Linked DNA regions of Lytechinus pictus. Each later gene encodes a partner of the first gene's protein in a complex. Links are inferred from orthologs where the notes say so. Each region holds a gene or a part of one and is shown on either strand. Other genes may lie near its edges.

Region 1 (7,742 bases):
AGCCAATCATTGTGCTTGAAAACGGGTTTCCCCGAATTCCCGCCCTTGGAATGACTGTGTACCATGTGCGTGACCTGTTAACCTGTTGTATGAATGCGAATCAGCTGGTTTCGTGACCTCAAATATTCTTCATGTTGTTTACGCTGGATGGGGGCTATAAAAAGATCTTTCTGACTCTTTTTTTTTTTCAATTTTAATAATCTGTTCGTGAATTTCTGTAACATAACTGATGCAATTTATTGAATCACGTACCTCGATCTTCCCACTCATGATGAAAGAAAATATTTAAAAAATTTAAAATCGCCAAAATATACATGTAAAGAAAGATTATTCAGCCGTCATCATCAGTAGTAGTATAGACATGTCTATAAATATGCATTCGCTTCGAATATTGACTTCTTCACCAATCCCACACACACGCACGATCTCAACATCCCCTTGTCATTGTCCACGCCACGACCCCTCCCCTTTCGCGCTCCCCCTTCGACCATCCTAGCTACAACCCTCCCCCCCCCTCTTCCTCTCTTTCACACACGCTGTATTTGTAGGCCTACATAGTGCATTATTTAAAAATACAAATCTGCTTTCCTGTCAATTAAGCTTTACTTTCAAAACATTTTAAATCACAATTAATTATAATAAGAACAAAATCGTAATATTAAAGTATGATGAATGACTAAAAATATTTCTCCCGCTCGTGATGGACACATTCATTATTTTATAGGCGAGTATAGAACAATACAAATGAACATATAGGAATAATTGACAGTGAGTATAAATCTACTTTCCTGTCAATTAAGCTTTACTTTTAAAACATTTTAAATCGCAATTAATTATAATAAGAACAAAATCGTAATATTAAAGTATGATGAATGACTAAAAATATTTCTCCCGCTCGTGATGGACACATTCATTATTTTATAGGCGAGTATAGAACAATACAAATGAACATAGCAATAATTGACAGTGATAAACGAATCTTGATTGGATATTATTAGTATAAACATCATCAGCAGAAGTCTTAATTATGAGAGTCATAGTTTCAGTGAGTATCTGAAAACAAAACAAACATGCAAATTATATCGTCTCATGAATACCGATGCCCATTATTTGGAAGCCTCGGAAGTTTTCTTCCGAGGCTTCCAAACAAAGTCGGAACAATCTTTGGATTGAGTAAGGGCGTGGCGCGGCGCGCATGCGGTCCGTAGATGTAGTCGGTCATTGACACGCATTCACAAAATGAATCGCACTTTCTAAGGACGTAGCGATCTAGACATTGGAAAGTATGGAGTACGTTATCGATGTCATTGATGTGAATAAATCTATAAACTGTAAGTATAAAATGAGATTGAATTTAAATCTTTTCTTTTGACCTTTTTCATCAGTACTTGCCTTTCTGCTTCAATCGATCGCAATTCGCGCAACCGTTACGGCTGTGTGGCCGGAGAAGCATTAAATAGACATCAAATGTGGTGCATTTAGCAGCAATCTAAGCTCGTCGATATTGATATTTTCGATAGCTACCGCGCTCCGCGCGGGAGGGGGGACACCCCCCTCCCGCGACCCTCCCCCCCCGTGTAGTAGTAATAGTAGCTGCGCGGCTTGCGTATCATCGCTTCGCGCCGCCAAGCGTCAGAATGAACCTGGCGAGAACGTTGACCTTACGTTAGTAAATGATTTTTACTCTCAAAAAAGAAGCCGCCTGGCTACGTGCACCTCTAAGTCTAACTATTAGTATTACTGTATTAATTTATTATCAGTATCATTAATGATCAGCAGTAGAGGCGCACGGCCAATATGGGAGACTCTCTCCAATAGGGGAGACAATCTCCCACATTGGAGACTTGCTTTGCAAAAGGACAAAAGAAACAACACCAACAAAAGCATGATTTTTTCCACCCAAAATTTTGTCTCACTGAGGTCAGAAGCCCATTTGTTTTGTGTGTGATTGACAACAAAAATCCTTATCAAAACAAAAGTAGATGGTGAATTTTTAAAGTAGACGGTGAAAAGGGGTAATTTCTCATGAGGAATCTGCTTATCACATTTTTATTTGCCGCCAAGGTAATCCTTTTGCAGCAAATGTAAACAAAGGAAATTGGTCTCCAAAACTGGAGACTGTCTCTGAAATTGGATACCCAAATTCTTTACAAAAGTCTCTGATATTGGAGATAATCTCCCACATTGGAGACAGTCTCCAATATTGGCCGTGCGCCTCTACTGATCAGAATCGCAATGCATTATTATGGGATCGCAAAGGGGGCCGTTGCTCTCCAGCCCCCTTTCCGATCCCATTATGCATTGCGGTTCTGATAAGCGATAAACCATATTCGGAAACACTAGTCTACAGACGGTGCAGCCGTTTTGTCGTGACACAATTGTGACAAGTCGATATTAATCATATTAAAATATTATTATTAATAAAACATTGTAAAATATCGACAATAACGTTCGATGACACTTCATGAAACATCCTGGTATCTATCAGTAGATCTACATTTATTCCAAATTATACCAATATTGTACAAATATTCATCACTACTGACAAGGGCGAGCCCCGGTATTTAGCTTGCTAAAATGCAAGGGCTTCCATCCAACCTATCTTCACTACTTCAGTCCCACTCGTTCATTTTCATGGGTGTCATATAAACCGACATGTAATGTGAAAATAAACCATAAACCATACAAGTAAGATTAAGACTTTCATGATGCAGGTCAAATAGATCCATCAATTAATAATTATTGAATAAAAATTGATAATTACCTGACTAGCTTCATGATGATGTCGGATTGCGATCAGCATCCGACGATAAAAATTGGACGTTCAATCGACGCGCGTGTACCAAAACAATGGACTGTGGCTGACGCAGATGGCAGCAAACCAAGTCATGCATGCAGATGTCGCGCCCGCCGCGCCAGCGTCAATTTAGCCAAGTTAAAATTGCCCCAAGAAAAATCATTTCACTGGCATTTCCCGGTGGCATTTACTTGGAAGTGAATTACCGCTGACAGCCTGATCACGATTTAAAACTCCTGTTATGAAACAGGAACGGAAACTTAACATTTAAATTTTGATAGATTTAGCTATTTAGAATCTAATGATGTTATCTTTATTGCATTTATTTTTTCCATTTCCTTCAATAAAGTAATGATCTAGGAGCTAGGAGTTAACACTTGATCAAGGGAGGGGGAGTACTGCCCTTTAAAAATGGGATAAGATTGAAACCTTTGTGTTATGTTCTTTTTTATTGATGTATAGTATAGTGTTTGTAAATATATTTGGCGAGAGGGGGGGAAGGGGTGCAAGGGTGGATATTGGCTTAAGGTTTTACTTATATTCATTCTTCGAACGGATTTTTATCTCAAAGAATCAGAATATAATTTGTTTTACCTGATCCAAGACAAAGCCCCCACTTAATAGGGAGAGGATTGCATTTGATGGGACAGTGCCGCTGGTAACGAAGCCAAATAAAGAATTGAAAAAACTTTCAGAAAAATATGTATATAATTATCTGAATTAAAGAAATAAAGAAGGGACATGGAAACAAGAAATTAAGAGACAGAGACCGAAGGGAAAAGGGTAGGTGGGGGAGAAGGCACTGCAAAAGAGAGAATCCATGCATCCCCATCTTTCTCTCTCCCCAACTCTCTCTCTCCCTCTGTCCCTTCCCTTTCTATTTGAATTACTCTCACTCGTTTACACTTTATATTCTTTTCCAAAGGAGAATATTTGACTAGTCACATGACACATGTCATCTCTCTTCCATGCTCTTGTCTTTCTCCCGGGCTTTCTCCCTTTCTTTTTCTTTTCCCCATTACTTTTAGAAGTCACAGGGGCAGACACTCCTTGTAGCACTGTCCCTGCTACTGATCGAATATACAGCATCTCATTCAATTTAGTTTGTCAACTTCAAACATTCATTTTTTTTCATTCTCATTTTATCTTGTTCCTTGTTTTTTTTTTTTTTTTTTGGGGGGGGGGTGGGGGAGGGTAGTCTCTGAAATAGAAATAAGCAGTTTCTCTTGTCAGTTAACAAATATTTTATTTTCAGTAAACAGTATATCGAGTAAGAAACAATAATATAAAGATTTTTAAATCTGAAATATCTAAATAATACTTAGTTGCTTTTTATCTATGTTTTATGTTATCTCTATGAGTGGAAATAACTTGAAATTTAAATCTAAAATAAGGCGAAACATACATTGAATAGTATAAACAAAGGAGGTAATGCATATTTTCATTTATAATTTATATACACATGTTCTCATCTGTAGTGTAGGCACATTATCAAAATGCCACAAATGATCAATAATTCATAGAACATTATTTTATATATAATATATATAAATACTGGTTTTGCAACAATTTTTCTTCTTCAAAATAAACATTTACTCACAATATGTTGGAAATGATGATCTAATCAAGGTGATCTTTCTCTTTAAAAGTCAAGTCCAACCCAAGAAGTAAACAAAAACACTAAAAATTGTAGTAGAGAAGGATAAAAACAAGCATAATGTTCAAAATTTCACACGTGTTGTGCACATCAACTACTTTGAGAAAATAAGCGAAACTTTGAAAGGTTATATCCTTATTTCGACACCCAATTCTTCATAAAAAATTCTGATGAAATTTCCAGCATTATACTTGCTTGTTTTTTTTTTCCTTTTTTTAAAATCAATTTCTAGTTGAGGAGGACTTGACCTTTCAGAAGATTGATTTTGGACGGAGTATTTTATGACTCTTTCAACATGTGAGTCGATGCACGAAGTAATGGACAAGTCTAATTCCAAATGCTTACTTTCCCCAAAATATAAATATTTTCATAAAATGTAAATTGAAGTTGCATCAGAATCTACAATCATCGAAAATATGTTGCAATACATGTATAGCAGGGATGTACTTGTATCATGAATGAAAAAAATAAGAGAATTAAAATGCAATTAGCAGATATTATGAGCATCATAAATGCATATGCATTTTATTATTTCTGAATTATTGTTATATTGCTGGTTCACCATCATTTATTATATGTTAGGAACATCACAGACGTGGTCGTTATTTCAATAATATGGAGTAGTACTTTTCTCTTTCAGATGAATGCTAAAGGCATTTTCATGAAAGTCAGACCTGCACCTTTCACACAGGAGTGCTGCAAGCTTCTTTTCATTGCTGATCATCACATTCATAATACACAATATAAACCTTACGTGTGTCTTTCATTGAATAACAAAAACATTTCATACTTCTGTGCTTCTTTCTACATTTGTTTTCATCACAGTGAATTTCTGCTCTCTACTTCAAATGAATATACAATGAATAAAGTTTACAGAGAGGGAAAACATCATGGCTATGCTGCCGTACTTTGGCAAAATTAAGCAAGTTACAAAAGTATCATTTGGTGTAAATGAGCAATGTGTATTAGTCATTTACATAGGCGTCAATGCAATTTAACAGCATGTTTTCTTCAATATTTTTCCATAGAACGATAATTTCTTCCCCATATTTTGCCTGAACGTGCAACATACAAAGGGTGTTTCAGAAACAACAATAACTCAAATTTGACTGATGTGTCACTTGCTTCCTTTTGCCAAAGTTGGTCAGTACAGCTCGATCAATCGAGATAATGAAAGCTATTGGAAATTGAAGATGTTTCCCTTCCATCTTTAATACTGGAATGACAACCTGGTTGCCTTGCTGTAATGCACAGAAAAGTATTATTGTTTCTGTTTTCATAGTCACTGATAGATACTGAGGGAATTCATGCACATATCAAAATCCACTGTTTATGAATCCAGATCATTGTATAAAAAACAATGGAAACTCTTTATACACATGTACATGTTTTTGCAGTTCTAGATCTGGGGTGGTATTCTGGAACCATGTCATAAATTTTGTAATTTCTCTCCTGAGATGTGACACCGCTATGATTGTCACAAATCGGTATTCTGAACATTGTCCTTCCTCTGTCATTTTTCTCCCATATTCCCGCCCATCTTTTCGGAAGCAAACCAATCAAAATCACTGTTAGTTCCGAGTGGGAGCCCTTCTAACCAACAGGAAGGCCCGGTGGCACATCCTTGATATATAGCTGGCATCGCGTGACTGCGCGTATATTGACACGCTTAATTACAAATAAAAACAGGGAGCTGTGAAGGATTATTAGAAGAGAGATTTTTTAAAAAGAGGAAAACATAAAAAAGGAGGAATTAATATGTAGGGCCCAACTACTTGTAACATGAAAAAACATTTTTGAAAATAGTCATGGATGACGAGTGGAACTAAAACAACAATCCAACCTAAATATTTAGTCGGCAGGTTATCGGGATATTATGGTACCAAACGAAATCACAAAATTAATGACTACTAGGCTTTGTCATAAATGTTGTCATATCTTTTGCTTGTATATTGGGATTATGCGCATTCATGAACTGTGTATTTTTTTAGCGTGATAAAGAGAAGATGTAAAATTCAAGACAGTTTTAATGACAAAAGTTATGACATCCACCTGAATACAGATTCTGTCATATCTCTGAGAAAAGACAATGTTTAGAATACCCTCGGCCCCTAGCCTACAATGATGAACAATATAAATCTATTATATATACTATACATATTTTCACATTATTGTTCTTGTCCCCAATGAAGGATATAAACTTGTGGTACAGGTACAATTCATGCTGCAATAAGTATCAAGTCCAGGGTCCCGTAACACAAAGGTTAGCGATTAATTTTCACGATTGATTGTACATTGTAGTCAATGCAATCAATCGTAGAAAAATGTTCTACGATCATTGCTAACCTTGTGTTACGGGCCCCAGGTGAGCATTTCATGAAGCAAATAGTTATCATCACTGACTAATTTTTTATTTTTTCCTGAAATCCTTTCATCTGATTGGCTCAGAAAAATTTAGTCAGTGAAAATCACCGAGTACTTGCTTTATGAAACACTCCCCAGTTCCCAATTTGCGTCAACTGTCACACCTTGAATAGGAAAAGCGAAGCCAAGAACCAGGTATTAATTCCTCTGATCCTACCAGTTTAAAAGCATACAGGGGCATGTCATTATTCTAACAATAGTTCATAGGTTAGGGAATTGGAACAGATTTATGCAATGACACCCCACTGCTGGTGTTCACTGGACATTCTCATCTGTTGCCACGTCTTTCGATGCGTCTTCAAGGCCATCTACAAATAAAAGAAGGAAAGGACATATAGGAATAAAGAAAAGGTTCTATTAAAACAAATTTACATTAACCAATTGGGGCATTCCTGTTTCTAAATTGTATCACTTCATCTTGTAAACATCTATTTATTTTTTTTATCATGCAATACTTGAGCGGAATATTATTATCATATACTTTTTTTTATTATCAACCTGTAGTTCAATGTAGAAAGCAAAAAAATAAAAAAAGAAAAGATGGAAACAGATTGGAAAAAATTATGTTTTGTTCCATCAAGTTGAACATTCCTATTAAAAACTGTGATGAAAAGTTATCATCAGCCAATTGAGATCCAGTTGAAACTGTAAAAAAAAATGTCCCTCGACTAATGAAACTACACTCTATTCAAAGAAAAAAAATAACTAACATATCAAACACATAAAAATGTTTCGCAATTGGGTGCTGTTCAAAAAGCACCAATTTGCATCAGGCAAATAAATTTTCAATTTTTCTCGACATACTTCCTAAACCTGCAACATTGGAGAAGCTTTAACATTGCAAGGAATGGGGATTTTCCAGGA
Region 2 (7,531 bases), on another chromosome or scaffold:
GATGTAATTGGAGGAACAAGTTATTGAGTTTTCATAACTAGATCTAGTTGTTTCAGCTTTGGTTTTGAGTCTTGTTGTGATCGGTGCAACTTGTAATGGGATGAGAGATGCCTGTGTATGATGTATATTTTTAAGTTTGACAATGTTTCACTTTGAAATTTTATTCATTTCTATTACATTTTATTTTTTTAAGCTTTTAAAAATATATTTAAAAAACACCAAATATCATTATGATTTTTGTTAGACAATTGGATTTTTTTGTTTGCTTGAAGTTTGAACTTTTCCTCTTTCTTTTATATCTTTCTTTCTTCATTCTTCTATCCTTCCTGCTTGCCCTTTTTCTGCTCCATCTATCTTTATTTCCTATCTTTCTTCTCTGATCCTTTCTCTAGCTCTGTGTTCATTTTTCTTTATTTCCCACTTTCTCTTACTTTCCTTCTTTTTCAAAATTTATTTTTTTATTTCCTTCATTCTTCCTTTCCTTAAACTTTTCTTTGCTTCCTTCTCCCTTTTCTTTTTGTTCTTTCTCTCCTTCCATTATCAGGGCGCGACAAACCCGCTTGCCCGGGGCAAGTGAAAATGACGTGCGGGCAAGCATTTCTCAAAGTCAATTGCCCGATCGGGCAAGTGGTTGTTTTGAAAATGAACAAGATAAATTGACAGTAAAGTTTAATAATTTTTTGATAAATTGCAATTATCGGCCAATTATCTCTCATACAATGTCATACCAGTAAAAAAACAGTGGAAACATGTCAAATCAGCGCCAATTTACCAACAAAAGGCGACAATTTATCGCCAGCGGTACGCGTCCCGTTCGATGGAGGCTGCCATCTTACTTTCTAAACTACAATGTGCGCATGCGCTACTAATCGACGAAGGAGCTAGCTGGGGAAACCCCTCTCTCGCCCTCTGAGCGCATGTACGGACGTACACGAGCGATCGCGATCGAGCCAGCCGAGTCTCGAGCTAGATCGCGCTGAATGCATGCAAGCTTCGGACTGACTCGGCCAGGACCAGACGTCCCGTATTTTATTCATTTCTAAAACATTTTAGTTTTTTTTTTTTTTTTTATATATAAAAGAAACACCAAATATCATTAGGATTTTTGTTATATGATTGGATTGTTTTTAATTGCTTGAAGTTTGAACTTTTTCCTCTTTCTTTCTTTTCTATCCTTCTTGCCCTTTTTTGTTACATATCTATTTTTATTTCCTGATCCTTTCTCCCTCTCTCTCTCTGTTCATTTTCTTTCTTTCCTTCTTTCTCTTACTTGCCTTCTTTATTGCATTTCCTTTTTTTATTTCCTTCATTTCTTCTCCCTTCCACTCGTTTTTATTTTCGTTCTATCTCTCCTTCCGTTATTTTCTTTTTTTTCATTCTGGCCTCCCTTCATTCTTTCCTCCCTCTCTTTCCTCCTTTCTTTCTTTCATTATTTATTTCATTTTGTCCTTATTCTTTTCCCTTATACTTTTTCCCTTTCTTCCTTCCTTCCTGTTTTCTTCTTTCTTTCCAAGAATGAAGGCCAGAACAACTTGAACAAGAAAAAGAAATGCCAAGGGCAGCGCCAGTAAATCAAGTTCAGCCAGGACAGAAAAGAATAATTAAGAGCAAAAGAATTTTTGAAAAAAAATCGGGCAAGCAGTTTTTTCTATCGAGCAAGCAAATTTTTTTATCACTTGCCCGACAGGGCAAGTGATGAATTTTTTTTTGTAGAGGCCTGCATTATTATTTTCATTCTCTCCTCCCTCTCTTTCATTCTTTATTTTATTTTTTTCCTTTCCTTCTAATTCTTTTCCCTCATTCTTTCTTTCCCTCCATTCCTGTTTTTCTTCATTCTTTCCTCCTCCTTTTATCTTACTTTCTTTTTTCCTTTCTCTCCTTTATTTTGTCTTTCACACATTTATTCATCTTCCCTTCCTTTTTTTTTCTTTCTATATTCGTTTCAAAGAATGACGGAAACCTTTTTTCTCTTTTATTCTAACTTTCTTTTTATTTTTTTCATTTCCCTTCATTGTTTTCTTTCTTTCTTCTGAATTCATCTCTTTTCGTTCGTCTTTACTTTCTCTCCTTCATTCTTTTGTTCACCCTCCCTTCCAATTCTAAATATTTTTTCACAAGTCTAACAATGTGTAGCCTTCTTTGTTGATCCGCTCGTGCAGCATGCTGTCGATTGTCCCATATATCATTTTGTGAAATCTGGTCACCCTGAGTCCCGACCATCCATAAATGCATAATGACTTGCCATTTATCCAAGTTTTCTGACTTGACTTGTTTTTAATTTGAATCAACATGTTTACATTGTCATTGATGATTGACTGGCATGCTCCATTGCATTGGTGCTAGCACATCTTCACAGCCACATGTCAAATTTCTGGGATTTCTAGTAACTTGTGTGGAGAAAGCTGCGAAACTGCAATTAGCGCCAATGTCCGGACAATCACAATGTCAATGGACCCCCTCCTACTGCACGCGCGTTACCCATCGCACCACATCAAAATAAATGAATGGGACTTTCCGTCAACTCCATCAAAAATGCAAATGATGCCCCACATGATCAAGACGCGTAGTGTGAAAAAGGAAGAAAACATCACATTCATAACACAAAAAACGAATGGGAACACATTTCGGAGTAGCATCTAGACTCTACCACTATTTATAAGGATTATTCCATGCAATTATATTACAAAATATTTCCAATCTAAATAATCATCAAGGCAAGCGCACATAAATTCGCCAAACGCTAATTCTGAAGCAGCTATCCTAGCGCAAAGATTTAACAGTCAACACAATGGGCTATCCTTCAATATACTCCTTGAAAACGAGAAATTATATAAACATACTTCTTGAGTTCTGGTGGATGTGCTTTACTCATGATTTGGTGAGAAGATCGCAAAGATTTCTGAAGATTTAAATCAGATTCAGTTTGGGTTCCGAAAAGGCGAAGCAGAAACGATCCGAATTTGTGAAGTCAAAAGACTATTTTTTTTTCTTTCGTTGTATGGTATCGGCAATCAACCACTAGGCGTTGTGGCGTGCGCCTGTAATCCAAGCTGTGGGGAAGTTACAAATTGATGCAGAGGTTCGAGGTTCGAGCCCTGGTCACGTCTTTCGGATAGTGACGTTAAAGGTCGGTCCCAGACGTAAATAATCATATCTGATTGATACACGTCTGACAAAACTCAAATACACACACACACTCGCCACTCAAACCAACATAAGAAGAAGATGGTTGTCAATTAGGCCTATCTCTCTTTCTCTCTCTCTCAGGGTCTCTGTTCCTCTGGCGGATCCGGGGGGGGGGCACAGCCGACCCGTGCGCCCCCCCCCTTTCGAGAGGCACAATTAAAATTTGTAATTTAAAGATGCTATTAAAACACAAGTGTGCCCCACCCCCCTTAAAAGTGAAGACCGTGGACGAAATGTTCTATATGGTTGAAAAAAAAAATTAATTTTTTTTTCTTGCTTGTCAAAAATTTTCGTGGACGAAATATCCTTGAATTTTGGTTGAAATCCTTTTTTTTTTTTTTGCTTGTCAAATTTTTCCTCGGGAAAATGTGCCCCTCTTTGGAAAATCCTGGATCCGCCCCTGCTCTGTTCAATTTAATATTTTGATGCCAGGTATATTTTCGAATTAATTATTTTGTACAATGTGCGGAAGATGAGTAAAGAACAGCATAATAGTCGTACCACAGATTCAGAACGCATTGTGCTGGGTTGTTTGTGTGCGTCAGTATAGGCTCAAGATTATCCCTTGCCAATGTTCAAACGGACTTTTAATAAAGGTCAAGTTCGCCACCAAAGAAAAATATTGATTTGAATAAATAAACAAAATATTAAAAAGCATAACGCTGAAAATTTCATCGAACCCGTTATAAAATAAGACAGTTGTGACATGTTGAAGATTCACCTATTTTTCAGAAAACAGTTCTTGCACATTTCCTATTCAAATAAAAGATTTTATGATGTCCCTCGCTCAGTGGCGTAACTACGGGGGGGGGGGGGCATGGGGGCACGTGCCCCCCTCCCCCCAATCGGCTGGCAAAAAAAAACGGGGAAAAGGAGAAAAAGAGGGAGAAAGGAAGAAAAACGTATCGGGAAAGAATAAATTATTGTTCATTATATTTATAATAATAACTACGTTATGTTATATTACATAAGAAACATTTTTTTATAACTTTATGAAACATAATTCGCTCAGGGCCTATGTCTTCCTTGTTCCGGGTGCTCGCATTGTCTGTTTAACGAGATATATGATCCTGTTCAAGTTTTTCAAGTCAATATACACCGCATATATTATTTCCTCGCACTTCGAGTTATTATTGTTTTATGTAGTGACATATATTTCTTTTTCATGACTACTTACTTAAAGGGATAGTCCGGGCTAAAAATATTTATATCTAAATAAATAGAGTAAAATTCACAAAGGAAAAAAAAAATTCATAAAAATCGGATAACAAATAATAAAGTTATTAAATTTTAAAGTTTATCAATATATTGTGAAAACAATTATATGCACATTGTCATGATGATGTCATATCCCCACTTTCCCTTTTCTTATGTTATTACATGAAATCATAATTTTTAAAAGAAATTTCATACATGTGATGATGTGTAAATGTGTCTCCATTATGATGAAGGAAGCTGCACCAATAAAAAACTAATGCACTTAATCAGTTGTCAATCCACTTGTTTTAGCTCTTGGTAGAATTTTTTTTAATAAACTTGATTTTACATAATAAAATACAAAAGAACAAGTGGGGATATGACATCATCAACCCACCTAATGAATATTCATGAAGACATGCATTGCATGCCTAGAACTGCTTCACCAGAATATTGCGAATCTTTGAAATTCAACAACTTTGTTATTTGTAATCAAATTTTGATCAAATTTTCAGCATTTTGTGAATTTACTCTATTATATGAGTTATAAATATCTCCAGCCTGGACCATCCTTTTAAATTAATTGCCCCATTTTAAGGTCTTAAAAGGTCCCTTATCTGAATATCAAAAGTTTCAGCTCGGGCTTCGCGCTCGCATCATTCGGTTAGTGAAATACGTATGGTATAAGTAAATTCCTACAAACAAGCCTTAAGCCCCAGTCACATATAGACACGGATCAACACGGCAATGCCGGCATGATCCGGGGAGGTCCGGGATAGCTTTGCCCCGGATGACTGTAAACACGGCATCAACACGGCAGCTTCACACGGATCTACACGGACCATGCCGGCAGAGCACGTCGTCAACACGGACCGACACGTCAGCAACACGGACCTACACGTCAGCTACACGGACCAACACGTCAGCAACACGGACCAACACGTCAGCAACACGGACCATCACGTCAGCTACACGGACCAACACGTCAGCAACACGGACCAACACGTCAGCTACAAGGACCAACACGGACCAACGCGTCAGCAACACGGACCATCACGTCAGCTACACGGACCAACACGTCAGCTACACGGACCAACACGTCAGCTCAAGGACAAACACGGCAGCTATATTGACCAGCACGGCAAATGAAAATCTGTTCATAATAATGAGCTGATATTTATTTATTTAATTTTTTATTTATTTATTTATCTATTTATTTATTTTTTTCTCATCCTTGTCGCAACATTATATTATGTTGTTTTTTAAAAATATATCAAAACTCAAAACTTCCGTAACCAGTAAAAACGCTGTTTTTTTTATACAACACAGTTTACTGTTTTAAAAGTAGTTGTTAAGTACTTTAAATCTTGAACGACAAATTTAATTTCGATTTGATTTGATATCACTTTATTGAAATCACAATAAAGGAAAGAAATTTACAAAGTCAATAGAAAACATAATAAAAATTAAGATAGGCCCAGGTCATGACGCATAACTGTCGATGCAGGGCAGTAGTATAACACTTAATGTACAATTTCGATGTAACAGGTACATTACATAAATTATATACATATAACATATTTTAAAAAAATGAAATGTGAAATAATAATAACAGACAAAGTTGGGGTAAATATTAGAAAAAAAAGAGAGAAAAAAAAATATTCATACATGCACTAAGTTTACAAATATTAGGTTGGGGCCAATATCCAAAGCGTAAGAAAATATCCTGAATCATTTAATCATCCATTTAATCATAAATAAATTGAGCATGTTTGTGTCAACTGTTTAACAACTACTGAAGTTCATAAAGTAAATAGCGTTGTAAATATTTGATGGGAAAAAAGAACACGGACTGCCAAGGATACTCCAGGCAGCCACACGGACTTACACGGCAGCTACACGGACCTACACGGCAGCCACACGGACCTACACGGCAGCTACACGGACCATCCCGGATGGCTTTGCCAACCCGGCAGTCCACGGATGACGCCGGATGTTTTTGACAGTCAAAAACTGCCGTGTTGGCCTCCCGGACGTTCAAGGACCAACACGGACCACCCCGGACCTCCAAGGATGCCCAAGGCGCCAACACGGATCTCTCCCCGGACCACCCCGGATCAGATCCGGGATGGTCCGGGGTGGTCCGGGGTCTATATGTGACTGGGGCTTTAGAATGCACCTCCTCAGGTCTGCATTTCCTAAATATTCAGTTCGGTCTTCGCGCTCGCAATATTTGATAAGTGGGATGCGTATGATAATCATGATTACAATGACTACAAAAAGTGCTTCGTGTGTTTAAATGTAATTCTAACAAATCAGCAGGCGATTGGCACTCGCAATAGATGACTATGGTGAGATATATATCCTCTTAATGGATTCCTTAAAAAGATAATCCTTAGAATATCCCTGTTTGGTGTCAATATATACAAAAATTTCGGCCCATGCTTCGCGCTCGCATTGTTTGTTTAGCGAGACAGGTACGTATCATGATTACAAAAATTTGTTTTTTTATGTCCCTTATTAGGTCTGAATATCAAAAAATTTCAGCTCGCGCTTCGCGCTCGCATTATTTGATCAGTGACATACATATCCATTTAATGGCACTGTCCTTAAAATGTCCTAGGTCAGTATACCTAGCCATTTTGTTTGCTGGTGCCCCCCCCCCCAATGTCGTGACCCACGGTACGCCACTGCCCTCGCTCACCATTTCTTTTATTTTTATATTGTTTATTGTACAATATTTCAATCAATTTTTTTTTACAGATTTGACAATAAGGACCAACTTGACTGAACCACAATTAATGTTAACGAGAGGATTAAACATTGTTTCGCAACGGATGATGAGAATAATATTATACATTTCATATAGGCCCTATTGAAATACAAAAAAAATAATTAAAGTGAGTGGACCGTGATGTCATCAGTCCCCTCATTTCCGGGCCTCATTTACATATAACTATTTTGTGCCAAGCGAAAGTTTTGAATGTCATAACTTACTTATTTTACATCCGATTTGATGAAATTTTAAGTGTTATATGTTTGCCCAGGGGGGCAGTCAACTGCTGTACACATGCGTGACCCCAAAAAACGCGTATTGACACTGAATATGGAGTACTAATTCCAAATAATAGATCATAATGCCCACCAA

The links.
Region 2: small nuclear ribonucleoprotein Sm D1-like (region 1) and small nuclear ribonucleoprotein G-like share a complex: the UniProt entries of both Homo sapiens proteins name them as parts of the SMN-Sm complex. The link is inferred for Lytechinus pictus from reciprocal best matches to the Homo sapiens genes SNRPD1 and SNRPG.

The regions. Positions count from the first base shown.
Region 1 is NC_087246.1:62,605,854-62,613,595, reverse strand, and holds the start of small nuclear ribonucleoprotein Sm D1-like, read right to left. Parts: upstream 3,022-7,742; 5' UTR 2,779-3,021; coding exon 2,765-2,778; intron 1-2,764. Other genes in the region: coiled-coil domain-containing protein 113-like, read right to left, coding at 7,106-7,186. UniProt on the Homo sapiens protein: Plays a role in pre-mRNA splicing as a core component of the spliceosomal U1, U2, U4 and U5 small nuclear ribonucleoproteins (snRNPs), the building blocks of the spliceosome.
Region 2 is NC_087256.1:12,709,305-12,716,835, reverse strand, and holds the start of small nuclear ribonucleoprotein G-like, read right to left. Parts: upstream 3,010-7,531; 5' UTR 2,873-3,009; coding exon 2,841-2,872; intron 1-2,840. UniProt on the Homo sapiens protein: Plays a role in pre-mRNA splicing as a core component of the spliceosomal U1, U2, U4 and U5 small nuclear ribonucleoproteins (snRNPs), the building blocks of the spliceosome.